Linked DNA regions of Anolis sagrei. The protein of the gene in region 1 purifies or fractionates together with the protein of each later gene. This does not show direct contact. Links are inferred from orthologs where the notes say so. Each region holds a gene or a part of one and is shown on either strand. Other genes may lie near its edges. The genes, in order: ATP6V1A and ATP6V1F.

Region 1 (10,112 bases):
ACTCCCAAATGACAAAATCAATTTTTTTGAGTGAAGGACATACATTGGGTTGTTAGGTGTCTTGTGTCCAAATTTGCTGTCAATTCGTCCATTGGTTTTTGAGTTCTGTTAATCCCACAAACGAACATTATATTTTGATTTATTTACTAGCCGTCCCCTGCCACGCGTTGCTGTGGCCCACTCTGGTTGTCATGGGTGTTCTGTGTGGAAGGTTTGGCCCAATCCTATTGTTGGTGGGGTTCAGAATGCTCTGTGATTGTAGGTGAACTATAAATCCCAGCAACTACAACTCCCAAATTTCAAGATTCTATTTTCCCCAAACTCCACATTTGGGCATATTGAGTATTCGTGTAGAGTTTGGTCCAGATCCATCATTGTTTGAGTCCACAGTGCTCTCTGGATGTAGGTGAACTACAACTCCAAAACCAAAGGACACTGCCCACCAAACCCTTCCAGTATTTTCTCTCGGTCATGGGAGAAGTGTGTGTCAAGTTTGGTTCAACTCTATTGTCGGTGGGGTTCAGAATGCTCTTTGATTGTAGGTGAACTATACATCCCAGCAACTACAATTCCCAAATGACAAAATCAATTTTTGAGTGAAGGACATACATTGGGTTATTAGGTGTCTTGTGTCCAAATATGGTGTCAATTCGTCCAGTGGTTTTTGAGTTATGTTAATCCCACAAACAAACATTACATTTTTATTTATATAGATTACCTGCCTTGATATTGCGGGTTACATGTCTGTGTGGGAAAGCCCACTATGGAAACCGTTCCCGCGTGTTCCACTGGCGCGAGGGCCCCCCTCCGCGCAGGCCTCCCGCGCCTTCCTTCCCCCCCTCTTCCCACCCGCTGTCTTTGCGCGAGGCCCGGCAACACGAGCGGGCCCCCTCGCCTCAACTCCCGAAGACGGGCGGGGACGGCACACAACCACCGCCGCCGCCGGGTGCTGGTTGGGACGGCCGGCGCCGCACTCACCCCTTCATAGCTGCCGGGGGCCGGAGACCTCGACTCGGGGCTGGCGGTTGGGCGACTTCCGCCGTCGATCCACATGGGCCTCAGGCCGCTCCGACCGACCGCGCGGGCGAGCCAGGCAGCGAGCGTGCGCGCGCGGAGCCCCGCCCCTCTGGCCGACCTTTTGCCTTTCACGTCGGCGTGACGGCGCGCGCACTTCCGGCCGTGTTCCCGCGCGCTTTCCTGAGGGAGGCCTGTCAAAGAAAGCGGGCGGGGCCTGGTCCTCTCGACATGCGCAAAAGAGCCACAGCTCTTCCGCTGGGGGCCGGTGTTGTTCCTTCTCGCTACTTTGTACTGAGCCCCCCACTGTCCCCCAAAGTACAACCTAATATGTATTGTCGAAGGCTTTCATGGCTGGAATCACTCAGTTCTTGTGGGTTTTTTCGGGCTATATGGCCATGTTCTAGAGGCATTTCTCCTGACGTTTCGCCTGCATCTATGGCAAGCATCCTCAGAGGTAGTGAGGTCTGTTGGAAAAAAGGGAAAAAAGGGGGTTTATATATTTGTGGAATGACCAGGGTGAGACAAAGGGCTTTTGTAAGTTGGGCTAGGTGTGAATCTTTCAACTGACCACCTTGATTAGCATACAATGGGCTGACTGTGCCTGGAGCAAACTCTTCTTGAAAGGTGATTAGATGTCTCTGCCTGTTTTTCTCTCTGCTGTTTTTGCTGTTGCAATTTTAGAATTTTTTAATACTGGTAGCCAGATCTTGTTCATTTTCATGGTTTCTTCCTTTCTGTTGAAATTGTCCACATGTTTGTGGATTTCAGTGGCTTCTCTGTGTAGTCCGACATGGTGGTTGTGAGAGTGGTCCAGCATTTTTGTGTTCTCAAATAAAATGCTGTGTCCGGGTTGGTTCATCAGGTGCTCTGTTATGGCTGACTTCTCTGGTTGAAGTAGTCTGCAGTGCCTTTCATGTCCCTTGATGCGTGTCTGGGCAATGCTGCATTTGGTGGTCCCTATGTAGACTTGTGATGAGGAAACACAACATACAAACAATCTACAAACCCACCAAGAAAATCCAACAAATGCTACGTTCAGCAAAGGACAAGAGGGATCCTCTCACCTCTGCAGGAGTCTACCGTATACCATGCAGCTGTGGACAAGTCTACATAGGGACCACCAAACGCAGCATTGCCCAAACAAGAATCCAGGAACATGAAAGGCACTGCAGACTACTTCAACCAGAGAAGTCAGCCATAGCAGAGTACCTGATGAACCAACCTGGACACAATATATTACTTGAGAACACAGAAATGCTGGACCACTCTCACAACTACCATGTCAGACTACACAGAGAAGCCACTGAAATCCACAAACATGTGGACAATTTCAACAGAAAGGAAGAAACCATGAAAATGAACAAGATCTGGCTACCAGTATTAAAAAATTCTAAAATTGCAACATCCTAAACTACGTTCCCCAGAATTCTGCAGCTTTATCAACGCTTCCCCTCAACGCTTCTGTCACTGAAATACAGCCCCCCCCCCTCCAAATGGGAAGTTTGGTTTCACAACCCTGTGTATCTTTATGAGCACCTGGCAAATAACTTGCTCCTATTTTTATCTCATTATAGTTTTTAACATTTTAGCCTGTACAAGTGGCCCGTCCACTGTTTACTATGTCTGTGCTTTTTGTTGATTGTAATGCTATTTTGTTATTTAATTTTTAATGTAATTTTGATGATGTTGCTTGTTTATGTTTTGGTTTTATCTTGATGTAATATGTTGTTGTTGTTGATGGCAATGTTGTTGGCCATCAGACTGGAAAAAATCAACTTATATCCCCATACCAAAAAAGGGAAATGCGAAAGACTGCTCAAACTTCCGTACAGTGGCCCTTATTTCTCATGCCAGTAAGGTAATGCTCAAGATCCTGCAAGGAAGACTCCGGCAATACATGGAGAGAGAGTTGCCAGATGTTCAAGCTGGGTTTAGAAAAGGCAGAGGAACGAGAGACCAAATTGCCAATATCCGCTGGATAATGGAGAAAGGCAGGAAGTTTCAGAAAAACATCTATTTCTGTTTTATTGACTATTCTAAAGACTTTGACTGTGTGGATCATAATAAATTGTGGCAAGTTCTTGGTGGAATGGGCATACCAAATCACCTTGTCTATCTCCTGAGGAATCTATATAAGGACCAAGTAGCAACAGTAAGAACTGACTATGGAACAACAGACTGGTTCAAGATTGGGAAAGGCGTATGACAGGGCTGTATACTCTCCCCCAAACTATTCAACTTGTATGTAGAACACATCATGCGATGTGTGGGGCTTGAGGAATGCAAGGCTGGGGTGAAAATCCTGGAAGAAACATTAACAACCTTAGATATGCAGATGACACCACTTTGATGGCCAAAAGCGAGGAGGAGCTGAGGAGCCTTCTGATCAAGGTGAAAGAAGAAAGTGCAAAAGCTGGGTTGCAGTTAAACATAATAAAAACCAAGATTATGGCAACAAGAATGATTGACAACTGGAAAGTAGAGGGAGAAAACGTGGAGGCCGTGACAGACTTTGTATTTCTAGGTGAAAAGATTACTACAGACACAGACTGCAGCCAGGAAATCAGGAGACACTTACTTCTTGGGAGGAGAGCAATGGTGAATCTCGATAAAATAGTGAAGAGTAGAAACATCACACTGCCAACAAAGATCCGCATAGTCAAAGCAATGGTATTCCCTGTAGACATCTACAGATTTGAGAGCTGCACCATAGGGAAGGCTGAGCGAAGGAAGACAGATGCTTTCGAACTGTGGTGTTGGAGAAAAGTGCTGAGAGTGCCTTGGGCTGCGAGAAGATCCAACCAGTCCATACTTCAGGAAATAAACCCCGACTGCTCATTGGAGGGAAGGATATTAGAGGCCAAGATGAAGTAATTTGGCCACATCATGAGAAGATGGGAAAGCTTAGAGAAGACAATGATGCTGGGGAAAATGGAAGAAAAAAGGAAGATGGGCCGACCAAGGGCAAGATGGATGGATGGTATCCTTGAAGTGACTGGATTGACCTTGAAGGAGCTGGGGATGGTGACGGCCGACAGGGAGCTCTGGCGTGGACTGGTCCATGAGGTCACGAAGAGTTGGAAACGACTGAACGAATGAACAACAATATGTTGTTCGGGTTTGGCCCCATGTAAGCCGCTTCGAGTCCCCATCGGGGAGATGGTGGCGGGGTATAAATAAAGTTTATTATTATTATTTACTAGCTGTCCCCTGCCACGCGTTGCTGTGGCCCAGTCTGGTGATCTGGAAAATAAAGTAATTAGAAAGTATTAGTTTCTAATATATGTAATTCTTTTAGGCTTGTGAGTAAACAGTATTTCTTGTTGTTTCTTTGTCAGTGTTGATGTGGAGAGTGTCTGGTTTGCCCACCCTGGAACATGCAACATATCATAGTCCTTCTCTAGGGGTCTCTTTCAAATCTATGATACTATATCTGTGTGTGTGTGTGAGAATCATATCTATCTATCTATCTATCTATCTATCTATCTATCTATATCTATGGCTGGGAGTCCTATCTGCCAAGTTTGGTTCAATTCCATCATTGGTGGAGTTCAGAATGCTCTTTGATTGTAGGTGAACTATAAATCCCAGCAACTACAACTCCCAAATGTCAAGGTCTATTTCCCCCAAACTCCATCTGTGTTCATATTTGGGCATATGGAATATTTGTGCCAAATTTGGTCCAGATCTATCATTGTTTGAGTCCACAGTGCTCTCTGGATGTGGGTGAACTACAATTCCCAGACTCAAGGTCAATGTCCACCAAATCCTTCCAGTTTTATTTCTGTTGGTCATGGGAGCCCTGTGTGCTAAGTTTAGTCCAATTCCATCATTGGTGGAGTTCAGAATGCTCTTTGATTGTAGGTGAAATATAAATCCCAGCAACTACATCTCCCAAATGACAAAATTAAAAAAAATTGAGTGAAGAACATAGTTTGGGTTGTTAGGTGTATGCTGTCCAAATTTGGTGTCAATCGGCCCACTGGTTTTTGAGTTTTGTTCATCCCACAAACGAACATTACATTTTTATTTATATAATGATGATGATGATGATGAGTAGTAGTAGAAGTAGTAGTAGTAGTATTTATGCCCCTGGTGTGAAGTACAGCTGCATTAACCCTCCTGATTGCTGGCCTGAGCGACCTTGGGCAACTCACTCATTTCTAGATAAGAGTAATCTTAGGGTTGCCATAGGTCAGACACAACAAGGAATCTCTATCTATTATCTGGCAAGCCCGTCACGTGACTGAAAAGGTGGGGGGGGGGGCTGACCCTAACAGAGCTCTGCTTCCTGACTCACTCCTTATGCACGGAAAGTCTGCAGAACGTCGGACGAGGCGGAAGAGGAAGTGCACTTGGTTAAGCGCATGCGCACTAGATTCCCGGGGGTGGCAGACGCATTCACCTTCCTCCTGCGGCGTTGAAGGAAGCGAAGGAGCCAGCTGCTTCCGGAGGCGCCACAGCTCTGTCCTGTATCCCAGGTGAGGCCCCGGGACGCCCTTCCCCTCGGCCTGGACCCTCCGAAGCCCCTCGAGGAGGAAGGGCCCCAGTCCTTGCTTCTGACCGCGCTTGTCATTTATGGCAGGCGCAATTTCCTCAAACCGACAGGCCTTGGGTTGTTGTAGGTTTTGGGATTGTAAGGCCACGTTCTGGCAGTTTCGCCTGCATCTATGGCAGGCATTCTCAGAGATTGTGGGGACCACACAACCTCTGAGGATGCTTGCCATAGATGCAGGCGAAACGTCAGGAGGGAATGCTGCTAGAACATGGCCATATAGCCCGAAAAATTTGCAACAACCCAGTGATCTAATCACCTCTCAACAAAGTTCCCCAGGCACTGCCAGGCCATCAGAGCCCTAAACGGTTCTGGCCTGACCTACCTGTCTGAACGCGTCTCCTATGAACCAGTTAGGACATTAAGATCGTCTGGGGAGACCCTGCTCTCGATCCCGCCGGCTTCACAAGCACGCCTAGCGGGGACGAGAGACAGGGCCTTCTCAGTGGTGGCCCCTCGGCTGTGGAACGCCCTTCCTGCAGATATTGGATCGACCCCCTCCTTGCTGGCATTCCGGAGGAAAGTAAAGACCTGGCTGTTTGAATAGGCCAGGGGTCCTCAAACTAAGGCCTGGGGGCCGGATGTGGCCCTCCAAGGTCATTTACCTGGCCCTCACTCAGAGTTAATCTAAGTCTGTAATGGCTTGAAAGCAAACAACAACAACAATCCTATCTCATCAGCCAAAAGCAGACCCACACTTCCCATTGAATTTGTTAACATTGTTCTTCATTTTAATTATTGTATTGTTTTAAAGTGTATTTTGCATTACAAATAAGATATGTGTAGTGTGCATAGGAATTCATTCATTTTTTTTCAAATTATAATCCGGCCCGCCAACAGTTTGAGGAAATATGACCTGGCCCTCTGTTTAGAAAGTTTGAGGACCCTTGCCTTAGAACATGGCCATATAGCCCAAAAAATCTACAACAACCCAGTGATCTAATCACCTCTCAACAAAAGATTGCCCCAGGCACTGCCAGGCCATCAAAGCCCTAAACGGTTCTGGCCCGACCTACCTGTCCGAACGCGTCTCCTCCTATGAACCAGTTAGGACATTAAGATCGTCTGGGGAGACCCTGCTCTCGATCCCGCTGGCTTCACAAGCACGCCTAGCGGGGAGGAGAGACAGGGCCTTCTCAGTGGTGGCCCGTCGGCTGTGGAATGCCCTTCCTGCAGATATTAGATTGACCCCCTCCTTGCTGGCATTCCGTAGGAAAGTAAAGACCTGGCTGTTTGAATAGGCCAGGGGTCCTCAAACTAAGGCCTGGGGGCCGAATGCGGCCCTCCAAGGTCATTTACCTGGCCCTCACTCAGGGTCAATCTAAGTCTGTAACGGCTTGAAAGCAAACAATAACAACAATCCTATCTCATCAGCCAAAAGTAGACCCACACTTCCCATTGAAATACTAATAATTTTATATTTGTTAAAATTGTTCATTTTAATTATTTTATTATTTTCTGTGTTTTTTTGCACAACAAATAAGATATGTGCAGTGTGCATAGGAATTCATTCATGTTTTTTCAGATTATAATTCGGCCCTCCAACAGTTTGAGGGACTGTGACCTGGCCCTCCGTTTAAAAAGTTTGAGGACCCCTGGAATAGGCATTCGACTAAGCAGTGTGATTGATTGACTATCGGAACACGGAATATCGGATAACGAGTTTGAATTCTGATTTCATTGATGAGACCTGATGGATTTGTTATATTGATGTAGTGATGTATTGATATTGATGTTTAATGATTTGTGATGCTATTGCTTTTAAATGCTTAATGATTTTGTATTGTGTATACCTAAATTGTTGTAAACCGCTCTGAGTCGCCTAAGGGCTGAGAAGAGCGGTATACAAACAAAGTAAATAAATAAATAAATAAATGCTAATCAAGGTGGTCAGTTGAAACATTCACACCTAGCTCCAACAGACAAGAGTTCTTTGCCCCACCCCGGTCATTTCACAGATATATAAACCCACTTTCCTAGTTCCAATAGACCTCACTACCTCTGAGGATGCTTGCCATAGATGCAGGCGAAACGTCAGGAGGGAATGCCTTTAGAACATGGCCATATAGCCGGAAAAATCTGCAACAACCCAGTCATCTAATTACCTCTCAACAAAAGATTCCCCCAATAACTGCCAGGCCATCAAATGCTAATCAAGGTGGTCAGTTGAAACAGTCACACCTAGCTCCAAGAGACAAGAGTTCTTTGCCCCACCCCGGTAATTTCACAGATATATAAACCCACTTTCCTAGTTCCAATAGACGTCACTACCTCAGAGGATGCTTGCCATCGATGCAGGCGAAACGTCAGGAGAAAATGCCTCTACAACATGGCCATATAGCCCGAAAAATCTGCAACAACCCAGTGATCCAATCACCTCTCAACAAAAGATTCCCCCAGGCACTTCCAGGCAATCAAATGCTAATCAAGGTGGTCAGTTGAAACATTCACACCTAGCTCCAACAGACAAGAGTTCTTTGCCCCACCTTGGTCATTCCACAGATATATAAACCCACTTTCTTAGTTCCAATAGACCTCACTACCTCTGAGGATGCTTACCATAGATGCAGGTGAAACGTCATGAGAAAATACCTCTAGAACATGGCCATATAGCCTGAGAAAACCTACAACAGCCCAGTGATTCCGGCCATGAAAGCCTTCGACAATACATTGACAGGCCTTGCTTTGCTTGCCCACCCCCCCCCCCCCCTGCGCTTTTTGTGCACTTGCTTGGGATTCTGCCCTTATTGGACTGGAATCACCACTGGCTTATTCAATGGCCTGCTCAGCAGACTGCCCCCATTCCTTTGGGTCCTGTTGCACTCTTGCCATTGCATTTGGGCATATTGAGTATTCCTGTCAAGTTTGGTCCGGATCCATCATTGTTTGAGTCCACAGTGTTCCCTGGATGGAGGTGAACTACAATTCCAAAATTCAAGGTCAATGCCCACCAAACCCTTTCAGTATTTTCTGTTGGTCATGGGATTCTGTGTGCCAAGTTTAGGTCAATTCGATTGTTGGTGGAGTTCAGAGTGCTCTTTGATTGTAGGTGAACTATACATCCCAGCAACTACAACTCCCAAATGACAAAATCATACTTTTTTGATTGATGGTCACTCCTTGTGTAGTGAGACATTTTGTTGCCAAATTTGGTGTGATTTCATTCATAGGTTCTTTTGTTTTTAAGGTACTCATTATGCACAGAGCATTTATATATACCGTATATACTCGCGTATAAGCCGACCCGAATATAAGCCGATGCACCTAATTTTACCATAAAAAACTGGGAAAAATGTATTGACTCGAGTATAAGCCGAGGTGGGAAATGCAGCAGCTAATGGTGAATTTCAAAATAAAAATAGATATCAATAAAATTATATTAATTGAGGCATCAGTAGGTGAAATGTTTTTGAATATTTTCATAACATTGTAATTTAAGATAAGACTGTCAAACTCTGATTAAACCATTATAATAACCTTCTTCAACGTAAACGTGCTTACGTATCCTTCCAATAATAATAGAGTAAAATAATAAATGTAATAATAATAATAATAATAGAGTAAAATATTGGAAATGTAATAATAGTAATAAAAGAGTAAAATAATGAATGTAGCAGTAAACAATTATAAAGTAAAAAATAATGTAATAATAATGGAGGAAAATGATAAATATAATAATAATAATAACTAGAATAAATAATACGTGTAATAATAATAATAACGACAACAGAGTAAAATAATAAATAACCTTGACTCGAGTATAAGCCTGAAAAAAAGGGCTGAAAAACTAGGCTTATACTCGAGTATATACAGTATATAGATTTAAGATAAGACTTACCTATTATGGCTTTCTGTCCAAGGAAATAGCCAAAATCACTGGATTCAAAACTCAGGAGTAGACATTGGTATTGCTATTGGCATCACAGCAATCTGTAATAGAGACAATGGAAAATCTGCAATGAACGGTTGATCAACAGAGTCATTTCTTGTAACTACTTCTAAATATCTTGTAAGGTGAGGTATGGAAATTAACCTAACTTAACTTAGGTGATCTCTCGTTTTCCGAGGAGGATTGTCTTCCAGTATTCTTGTGGGTCCGTATGTGGCTGTGGAGCCCTATTCTTGCTCTGCATCTTCTCCCGTAGTGAGGGCATTGGTTTCCAGGTGGCAGGCGGTCTCGGTCGTGGTTGGCTTGACACACCCTCCTCTTGGCACGCTTCTCCCTTTCGCCCTCCATTCGTGCCTCTTCAAATTCTGCAGCACTGCTGGTCACAGCTGACCACCAATTGGAGCGCTCAAGGGCCAGGGCTTCCCAGTTCTCAGTGTCTATGCCAGAATTTTTAAGGTTGGCTCAGGCCTGTAGCCAGGATTTTGACTGGGGGCGAGGGGTCTATGCCGGAGTTTTTAAGGTTGGCTTTGAGCCCATCTTTAAATCTCTTTTCCAGTCCACCAGCATTCCGTTTTCCGTTCTTGTGTTCGGAGTAGAGCAACTGCTTTGGGGGACGGTGGTCGGGCATCCGGACAACGTGGCCGGTCCAGC
Region 2 (10,786 bases), on another chromosome or scaffold:
CACTTTTTGCTTGATGTTCAGGCAGTGCTTCTTGTAGGTCAGAGCACGGTCCAGAGTGACTCCCAGGTATTTGGGTGCGCTGCAATGCTCCCGTGGGATTCCTTCCCTCCCAGGTAATAATCCTCAGAGCTTGGGATGCTTGTCTGTTCTTAAGGTGAAAGGCACATGTCTGTGTTTTAGATGGGTTGGGGATCAGCTTAAATCTAGAAATAGTTTTCTAAGATCTACAGAGACACTCGCTGGAACACCTCAGCAAGCGAGAGTCCAAAAGTGGCAGGCTCAAACCCAGAACCTCAATCAATGCTGATCCCAAATGAGAGACTCCCCCCTGGGCACACAGAGGACTGGGCGACTTGGAAGGCGCTGAACAGACTGTGCTCGGGCACCACGAGATGCAGAGCCAACCTCAAGAAATGGGGCCACAAAGTGGAATCCACGGCATGCGAGTGCGGAGAAGAGCAAACCACTGACGGTCTGCTGCAATGCAACCTGTGCAATGCAACACAATGGAGGACCTCCTTGCGGCAACACCAGAGGCACTCCAAGTGGCCAGATACTGGTCAAAGGACATTTATTTATTTATTTATTTATTTATTTATTTATTATTTATTTATTTATTTATTTATTTAGTACACTTGTATACCGCTAATATCTCAGCCTGTGCGGCGACTCATTGCGGTTTACAACATATTTAAAAATACAATATTCACTTTAAAAATATAAAATAAAATATAAAAATACAAAATAAAAAAAAATAAAAATAAAATAAAACATTTAACCAGCTACCAAGCTTGCAAAATTTGTGGTTTTTAAAAATCTGTTTGCATGTTTTGCTCTGTTAGAAATGTAATACAATGGTCTGGTTGCTGATGACACGATAAATACATACCCAGATAAAGAGAGAAGCACATCTTTGTTTTACCTTTATAGTGTCTGGGTGTGAAGGCACAATTATTATTATTATTATTATTATTATTATTATTATTATTATTCTGACACAAAAGCACAGTATGTTACAGCAAACAATGTGTATTGTTTCCCACTGCCGGCTGAGATCTTTTGGCATGGCACCCAGTGCGCCCATGACCACTGGGACCACCTGTACTGGGTTATGTTGTAAGCCGCATCGAATCCTTCGGGAGATGCTAGCGGGGTACAAATAAAGTTATAATAATAATAATAATAATAATAATAATAATAATAATATTATGCCAGAGCCTTTGCAGTTCGATTTTGAGGTCTTGATAGCAGCTGAGTTTTTCCTGTTTTTCCTCAATGCGACTGTCACCCGGTATGGCAACATCAATAATCCAGACTTTTTTCTTTTCCACAATAATAATAATAATAATAATAATAATAATAATAATAATAATGTTTCACCATTAAGCTGTATTTCTGGCATTGGAGAGGGATTGGCTGGTGACTGCTGGGAGAGCACTGGCTTTCTCGATGATGTTCAATGAGAGGCCGAGCTCGTATGCTTCTGCGAAGGTGTTTAGAGTGGCTTGTAGGTCTTCTTCTGAATGGGCACATACGGCGTTATCATCGGCATATTGGAGTTCTATAACCGATTATACTCCTGCGAAGGTGTTTAGAGTGGCTTGTAAGTCTTCTTCTGAATGTGCACATACGACGTTATCATCGGCATATTGCAGTTCTATAACCGATTATACTCCTGGACCGATCACCACCTGATCAGTTTTAGACTAACTGGGCCTCCTAACCTCCGCAAGGGTGGTGGACCTATTAGAATGGTCCGCCCCAGGAGACTTATGGATCCAAATGGACTCCTGATGGCTCTTGGGGATCTTCCCACCTCCTTGGCTAGTGATACTGTCGATGCTCTGGTCTCTCGTTGGAATAATGAGTTGACTAGGGCAATTGACACTATCGCTCCGGAACGCCCCCTCTCGAGTAACCGAGCTAAACCAGCCTCTTGGTTTACTGAGGAGCTGGCAGCAATGAAGCGAAAGAAGAGGAGGTTAGAGTGCGTGTGGCGCAAGAACCCCACCAATCCAGCCCAAACACACCTGAATGCCTTTTTAAGGTCCTACGGTGTGGCAATAACGGCGGCCCAGAAAATATTCATCACAGCCAATATTGCATCAGCAAAGAATCGTCCAGCGGAGCTTTTCCGAGTTGTCAGGGGCCTGTTAAATCCGCCAAAAAGCGAGGCCTCGGACAACTCGGTGGCTCGCTGTGAAGCATTTGCTCGATTCTTCGCGGATAAAACTGAGCGGATTTGGTCAGGTCTTGACGTCATGTTAACGGCAGTCTCCGGGGATGTAACGAGAGCATCTGCTTGTCCAGTTTTGTTGGATTCGTTTCAATTGGTTCAGCTTGAGGATGTGGACAGGATCCTTGGAGAGGTGCGACCCACCACATGCATCCTAGACCCCTGCCCATCCTGGCTGATTAAGGAAGCCAGAGGGGGTTTGGCGGAGTGGGTGAAGGTGATGGTTAACGCTTCCTTACAAGAAGGAAAATTTCCAGCGAGCTTAAAGCAAGCTATTATAAAACCGCTGTTGAAGAAACCATCACTGGATCCCACTCAATTTGACAACTTTCGGCCAGTTTCCAATCTCCCCTACTTGGGCAAAGTCATGGAACGTGTGGTGGCAACACAACTCCAGGGGTTTCTGGTAGACACTGATTATCTGGATCCGGCACAGTCTGGCTTTAGGCCGGGACATGGAACTGAGACAGCCTTGGTCGCCTTGGTAGATGATCTGCGCAGGGAACTGGACAGGGGGAGTGTGTCCCTGTTAGTTCTGCTGGACCTCTCAGCGGCTTTCGATACCGTCGATCACGGTATCCTTCTGGGTCGCCTCAGGGATATGGGGCTTGGGGGCACTGCTTTGCAGTGGCTCTGATCCTTCCTCGAGGGACGGACCCAGAAGGTGTTACTGGGTGACACCTGTTCGGCCCCACAACCGTTGTTGTGTGGAGTCCCACAGGGTTCAATTCTGTCCCTGATGTTATTTAACATCTACATGAAACCGTTGGGAGAGATCATTCGGAGTTTCGGAACGAGATGCTATCTCTACGCAGATGATGTCCAAATCTGTCACTCCTTCTCACCTGTCACCAAGGAGGCTGTCCAGACCTTGAACCGGTGTTTAGCTGCTGTATCGGACTGGATGAGAGCTAACAAATTGAAATTGAATCCAGACAAGACAGAGGTCCTACTGGTCAGTCGTAAGGCCAATCAGGGTATAGGGTTACAGCCTGTGTTAGACGGGGTTACACTCCCCCTGAAGACGCAGGTTCGCAGCTTGGGAGTGATCCTGGACTCATTGCTGAGCCTGGAACCCCAGGTCTCAGCGGTGGCCGGGAGAGCTTTCGCACAATTAAAACTTGTGCGCCAGCTGCGCCCGTACCTTGAGAAGCCAGATCTGGCCACGGTGGTCCACGCTCTTGTCACATCCCGGTTGGATTACTGCAACGCACTCTACGTGGGGTTGCCTTTGAAGACTGCTCGGAAACTACAATTAGTCCAGCGAGAAGCAGCCAGATTGCTCACCAGGGCGACGTATAGGGAGCACACCACCCCCCTGTTGCGTCAGCTCCACTGGCTGCCGATCCAATTCCGAGCACAATTCAAAGTGCTGGTTTTGACCTACAAAACCCTATACGGTTCCGGCCCGGTGTATTTGTCCGAACGGATCTCCCTCTACATCCCACCTCGAAACCTAAGATCTTCTGGGGAGGCCCTGCTCTCGACCCCGCCACTTTCACAAGTGAGGCTGGCGGGGACGAGGAGCAGGGCCTTCTCAGTGGTGGCCCCCCACCTGTGGAACTCACTCCCCGGGGAGGTTAGATCGGCATCTTCCCTCATGGTGTTTAGGAAAAGACTGAAGACCTGGATCTGGGATCAAGCCTTTGGCCATTCTGAAGGTTAACTGAAGGATCTGATGTTAGACAAGAACAATTAGAATGGAATGGACATATGAACTCTGAACCCGAGCATGAGATTGTTTATGTTTTTATTATGTTTTATTATGTTTTTATTATGTACTGATGTTTTAATTAATTGTTGTGATGGTTGTATTTGTATTGCTGTAAATTGTTCTGGGCATCTAATTGTGCCCCCACTGTAAGCCGCCCTGAGTCCCCCCCGGGGTGAGAAGGGCGGGGTATAAGTAAATGAAATAAATAAATAAATAAAATAAATAAATAAAGGTGTTTAGAGTGGCTTGTAAGTCTTCTTCTGAATGTGCACATACGACGTTATCATCGGCATATTGCAGTTCTATAACCGATTATACTCCTGCAAAGGTGTTTAGAGTGGCTTGTAGGTCTTCTTCTGAATGTGCACATAAAACGTTATCATCGGCATATTGGAGTTCTATAACCGATTATGGTTCTGCGAAGGTGTTTAGAGTGGCTTGTAGGTCTTCTTCTGAATGAGCACATACGACTTTATCATTGGCATATTGGAGTTCTATAACCGATTATACTCCTGCGAAGGTGTTTAGAGTGGCTTGTAGGTCTTCTTCTGAATGAGCACATACGACGTTATCATCGGCATATTGGAGTTCTATAACCGATTATACTCCTGCGAAGGTGTTTAGAGTGGCTTGTAGGTCTTCTTCTGAATGAGCACATACGACGTTATCATCGGCATATTGGAGTTCTATAACCGATTATACTCCTGCGAAGGTGTTTAGAGTGGCTTGTAGGTCTTCTTCTGAATGCGCACATACGACGTTATCATCGGCATATTGGAGTTCTATAACCGATTATACTCCTGCGAAGGTGTTTAGAGAGGCTTGTAGGTCTTCTTCTGAATGCGCACATACGACGGTATCATCGGCATATTGGAGTTCTATAACCGATTATACTCCTGCGAAGGTGTTTAGAGTGGCTTGTAAGTCTTCTTCTGAATGCGCACATACGACGGTATCATCGGCATATTGGAGTTCTATAACCGATTATACTCCTGTGAAGGTATTTAGAGTGGCTTGTAGGTCTTCTTCTGAATGCGCACAGACGACGTTATCATCGGCATATTGGAGTTCTATAACCGATTATACTCCTGCGAAAGTGTTTAGAGTGGCTTGTAGGTCTTCTTCTGAATGCGCACATACGACGTTATCATCGGCATATTGGAGTTCTATAACCAATTATACTCCTGCGAAGGTGTTTAGAGTTTCTTGTAAGTCTTCTTCTGAATACGCACATACGTTATCATCGGCATATTGGTGTTCTATAACCGATTACACTTCTGCAAAGGTGTTTAGAGTGGCTTGTAAGTCTTCTTCTGAATGCGCACATACGATGTTATCATCAGCATATTGGAGTTCTATAACCAATATTCTTGTAACCTTGGTTACAAATCAGATAATCTTGGGTTGTTGTAGGTTTTTTCGGGCTATATGGCCATGGTCTAGAGGCATCCTCTCCTGACGTTTCGCCTGCATCTATGGCAAGCATCCTCAGAGGTAGTGAGGTCTGTTGGAACTGGGAAAATGGGTTTATATATCTGTGGCATGACCAGGGTGGGACAAAGGACTCTTGTCTGCTGGAGCTAGGTGTGAATGTTTCAGCTGACCACCTTGATTAGCATACAATGGCCTGACAGTGTCTGGGGCAAACGTTTGAGAGGTAATTAGATGTTAGATTAGATCAGATAATCTTGTTTACAAATCAGATAATCTGGATCTTATATGGCAGTGTGGAAGGGGCCTGAGCCAGGTGAGGCAAACAAGCCCAGCGAGAAGTTATACAGGGAGCGTGCAGAGCCCTCCAGAAAGATGTCCATCCAGCGTCTGTTTGAAAGCCTCCAAAGAGGCAGAGAGTTCCCCAGGACAGGCCAGAAAGTTTTTCCTCAAGCTCAACATCCGTGTGTGCCTCTACTGGTTTCTATCTCTGTGGACAGCTGCAGCAGCAAACCTGGACGCATGCGCAGAGAGCCATGAGGCGACTGCGCATGCACCTCCGTGCAGTATAACAGCTCCCTACGGCGGCCGCTCGGGGTCATTCTTATCCCTCGCGCGTTTCCTGAGGCGTCATGGCCGGCCGGGGGAAGCTCATCGCCGTCCTGGGAGACGAGGACACGGTGACCGGCTTCCTGCTGGGAGGCGTCGGGGAGCTCGACAAGCACCGCCGCCCGAACTTCTTGGTGGTGGAGAAGGAGACCGCCCTGGCCGAAATCGAGGAGGCCTTCCGGTAATTCGAATTGGGGACGCGGGGGGCGGGGGGGGGGAGGGGAGAGAACTAGGTGGAACAGCCGGTTGCCGTGGAAACGCAGGGGTTTGGACTGAACCACTCTCCCAGGAAAGATAGGGGGAAATGCCTGGGTTTGGACTGAACCAATTAATGGAGGGGAAGGGAATAAAGTTACAGCCTTGAGTCTCTTTCGGGGAGAGAAAAAGCGGGGATTAAATAGTAATCATAATTATGACAATAATATAGTAAATATAAAATATAGTAAATATAAATAAATAAGTATATAATATAATATTTATAATATTGTAATTTAATGCAATATAATACTACTAATAATAATATATTATAATTATATATTTATAATACATGTAATGTTACTAATAATATTACAGTATAATTGATATAGTGCAATATAGCAATATTTAAAACTGATATTGTACTATGTTAATAATATATTGGGTTGTTGTAGGTATTTTCGGGCTATAGGGCCATGTTCTAGAGGCATTCTCTCCTGACGTTTCGCCTGCATCTATGGCAAGCATCCTCAGAGGTAGTGAGGTCTATTGGAACTAGGAAAAAGGGTTTATGTATCTGTGGAATGACCAGGGTGGGGCAGATAGCTCTTCTCTGCTAGAGCTAGGTGTGAATGTTTCAACTGACCTTGGAATAAGGGATGTGCAACCTATATTTGCTTCCCATGGGTTGCAGGAAAAAAAAATCCTTAACTATATTGCTGTTATGTTTATTTATACCCCACTTTACCTCTCCCGAAGGAGACTCAAAGCGGCTTACCATTAAAAGTAAGTGGTTAGACCACATCTGGAATATTGTGTCCAATTCTGGGTGCCACAGTTCAAGAGAGATATTGACAAGCAGGAATGTGTCCAGAGGAGGGCAACTAAAATGATCAAGGGTCTGGAGAACAAGCCCTATGAGGAGCGGCTTAGGGAACTGGGCATGTTTAGCCTGAAGAAGAGAAGGCTGAGAGGAGATATGATAGCTGTGTATATATATGTGAGAGGAAGCCACAGGGAAGAGGGAGCAAGCTTGTTTTCTGCTTCCTTGGAGACTAGGACGCGGAACAATGGCTTCAAACTACAAGAGAGGAGATTCCATCTGAACATGAGGAAGAACTTCCTGACTGTGAGAGCCGTTCAGCAGTGGAACTCTCTGCCCCGGAGTGTGGTGGAGGCTCCTTCTTTGGAAGCTTTTAAGCAGAGGCTGGATGGCCATCTGTCAGGGGTGATTTGAATGCAATATTCCTGCTTCTTGGCAGAAAGGGGTTGGACTGGATGGCCCATGAGGTCTCTTCCAACTCTTTGATTCTATGATTCTATGAAAAGTAGGATCACATAATTTAAATTGTACAAATATGCAAACATTAAAACAGAATTAAAATTCACATTTAAAATCCATTAAAACATACTGAAAACTAAAAATCATATATATATATATATATATGAGAATGACTTGGGTGGATGATAGTTACTTCCCTCCCAGCAGATCCCGGAGATGTCTTTCCTCTTTTAAATTAATCACACTTCATGTCTCAAGGTCAAAAGTTTCCATTTCTGCTTTTGGGTAGAATGAGAAACACTTCCTCTATTTTTCTACTGGGAAAATCTATGACTCCAGAAGGGTCAGCTGATGGGAGGACTTGTTTCTCTTGTGATAAACGAATGAATACATTTGGCTACAGCCTTTGCTTTGCAGAACTGTTTACTGTGGAATGTTTTTTAAATGTCGAGAGCCACTTTGCATCTAGATCAGTGGTTCCCAACCTTTTTTTGACCAGGGATCACTCTCCAAAATTAGTACCAAAAGGGTTAAGAATCAGCGGACCACTCCAAAATTAGTACAAAAAGGGTTACGAATCAGTTTTTAGATTCAGTTTCATTATTTGGGGCTCTGATTCAGAAAATTGCATTGGACAGACCAAATAACAACAACTACTAGAATCATAGTTTGAAGAGACCTCCTGGGCCATCCAGTCCAACCCCATTCTGCCAAGAAGCAGAAATATTGCATTCAAATCACCCCTGACAGATGGCCATCCAGCCTCTGTTTAAAAGCTTCCAAAGAAGGAGCCTCCACCACACTCCGGGGAAGAGAGTTCCACTGCTGAACGGCTCTCACAGTCAGGAAGTTCTTCCTCATGTTCAGATGGAATCTCCTTTCTTGTAGTTTGAAGCCACTAAAAAAAAATTGATTTTGTCATTTGGGAATTGTCGTTGCTGGGACTCAAACAGTGATGGATCTGGACCAAACTTGGCACAAATATTCCATATGCCCAAATATGAACACAGATGGAGTTTAAGGGAAATTCCAGCAACGACATTATTCCACAGATATAAAAAGGGTTTATATATCCGTGGAATAATGACAAGGGTGGGACAAAGGACTCTCGTCTGCTAGAGCTAGGTGTAAATGTAAAATCACAACAGCACAACAGAGGAAACAAACAAGGACATCTAATCACCTCTCAACAAAAGATTGCTCCAGGCACTGTCAGGGCATTATATGCTAATCAAGATAGTCAGTTGAAACATTCACCCCTAGCTCCAGCAGACAAGAGTCCTTTGTCCCACCCTGGCCATTCCACAGATATATAAACCCTTTTTCCTAGTTCCTACAGATCTCACTGCCTCTGAGGATGCTTGCCATAGATGCAGGCGAAACGTCAGGAGAGAATGCCTCTAGAACATGGCCATATAGCCCAAAAAAAACCTACAACAACCCAGCATTGAAAACTGTTTGAAAATATAGCTTGAGAAGATTCATTCCCACAACACTAAAGTGGATTGTGTCTGATTGTGTTAAATGCAACTCAAAGAAAGCAGAACCACTGGAAAGGGATTATAAGGAGTATGGAAGTTGTGGTGGAAAAAATAAATAAAATAAAAACTGCCCTCCTTATCCTTTGAAGCAGATAATACTCCTTTCTTTGGTATTGCTGGGTCTTGCTCCCTTTCTTTAGAGCAGGGGTCCTCAAACTAAGGGGCCAGATGCGGCCCTACAAGGTCATTTACCTGGCCCTCGCTCATACAATCATAGAATCCTAGAATCAAAGAGTTGGGAGAGACCTCATGGGCCATCCAGTCCAACCCCATTCTGCCAAGAAGCAGGAATATTGCATTCAAAGCACCCCTGACAGATGGCCATCCAGCCTCTGTTTAAAAGCTTCCAAAGAAGGAGTCTCCACCACACTCCGGGGCAGAGAGTTCCACTGCTGAACGGCTCTCTCAGTCAGGAATCATAGAATCAAAGAGTTGGATGAGACCTCCTGGGCCATCATCCAGTCCAACCCCATTCTGCCAAGAAGCAGGAATATTGCATTCAAATCACCCCTGACAGATGGCCATCCAGCCTCTGTTTAAAAGCTTCCAAAGAAGGAGTCTCCACCACACTCCGGGGCAGAGAGTTCCACTGCTGAACGGCTCTCACAGTCAGGAAGTTCTTCCTCACTTAAGTCTGAAACGACTTGAAGGCACACAACAACAACAACAACAATCCTATCTCATCAGCCAAAAGCAGGCCCACACATCCCATTGAAATACTAATAAGTTTATATTTGTTAAAATTGTTCTTCATTTTAATTATTGTATTGTTTTTAAGTGTTGTTTTTTTGCACTACAAATAAGATATGTGCAGTGTGCATAGGAATTCATTCATGCTTTTTTCAAATTATAATCCAGCCCTCCAACAGTTTGAGGGACTGTGACCTGGCCCTCTGTTTAAAAGGTTTGTGGACCTATGCTTTAGAGTCTGTGCAATAAACTAGAGATTTGCTAAGGCATGGAGGTGTGGAATTCAAGGCTGTTATTTTGCATCAAGTCCTTCTTTGTCCTTGTGTTTGAAGGAATTTGCAATTTCCTCTCTTGAAAGAACCAGATCAGACAAAGGTTTGGCTCTCATTCTGTTTACACACAAACAACCGTCTTCCAAAAGGCCTCTGATGCGGGTTTTAACTGACTTCTGCCCGGTCCCTCCTTTGCCTGACCTTAGAAGGTCCTTGAAGGTAGAGTTGGAAGAAACCCAAAGTCCCATGCAGTCCAACCCTGTTCTGACATTTGGTTAGACCACACCTGGAATATTGTGTCCAATTCTGGGCACCACAAATCAAGAGAGATATTGACAAGCTGGAATGTGTCCAGAGGAGGGTGACTAAAATGATCAAGGGTCTGGAGAACAAGCCCTATGAGGAGCGGCTTAAGGAGCTGGGCATGTTTAGCCTGAAGAAGAAAAGGCTGAGAGGAGATATGATGAGAGCCATGTATAAATATGTGAGAGGAAGCCACAGGGAGGAGGAGGGAGCAAGCTTGTTTTCTGCTATTTATTTTCCTAATTTTCCTTTCAATGAACCTGTTTATTATAAAGAAAAGGATTCAATAAAGACAGATTCATTCCATAGCGATATTTGTTTATTGAGCCTGAGTTGCAGAATGATGGGAAGGAAGCGATAGAAATGCTTCTTGGCAGAATGGGGTTGGACTGGATGGTCCACCAGCTCTCTTCCAGCTCTCTGATTCTATGATTTTAAGAACTTCCTGACTGTGAGAGCTGTTCAGCAGTGGAACTCTCTGCGCCGGAGTGTGGTGGAGGCTCTTTCTTTGGA

What was found.
Region 2: the proteins of ATP6V1A (region 1) and ATP6V1F fractionate together in Homo sapiens (co-fractionation; 3 studies listed by BioGRID and IntAct, with this or other methods). This does not show direct contact. The link is inferred for Anolis sagrei from reciprocal best matches to the Homo sapiens genes ATP6V1A and ATP6V1F.

Annotation. Positions count from the first base shown.
Region 1 is NC_090022.1:165,334,833-165,344,944, forward strand, and holds the start of ATP6V1A (V-type proton ATPase catalytic subunit A), read left to right. Parts: upstream 1-5,365; 5' UTR 5,366-5,498; intron 5,499-10,112. Other genes in the region: NAA50 (N-alpha-acetyltransferase 50), read right to left, coding at 979-986. UniProt on the Homo sapiens protein: Catalytic subunit of the V1 complex of vacuolar(H+)-ATPase (V-ATPase), a multisubunit enzyme composed of a peripheral complex (V1) that hydrolyzes ATP and a membrane integral complex (V0) that translocates protons.
Region 2 is NC_090025.1:196,098,347-196,109,132, forward strand, and holds the start of ATP6V1F (V-type proton ATPase subunit F), read left to right. Parts: upstream 1-5,933; 5' UTR 5,934-6,013; coding exon 6,014-6,171; intron 6,172-10,786. UniProt on the Homo sapiens protein: Subunit of the V1 complex of vacuolar(H+)-ATPase (V-ATPase), a multisubunit enzyme composed of a peripheral complex (V1) that hydrolyzes ATP and a membrane integral complex (V0) that translocates protons.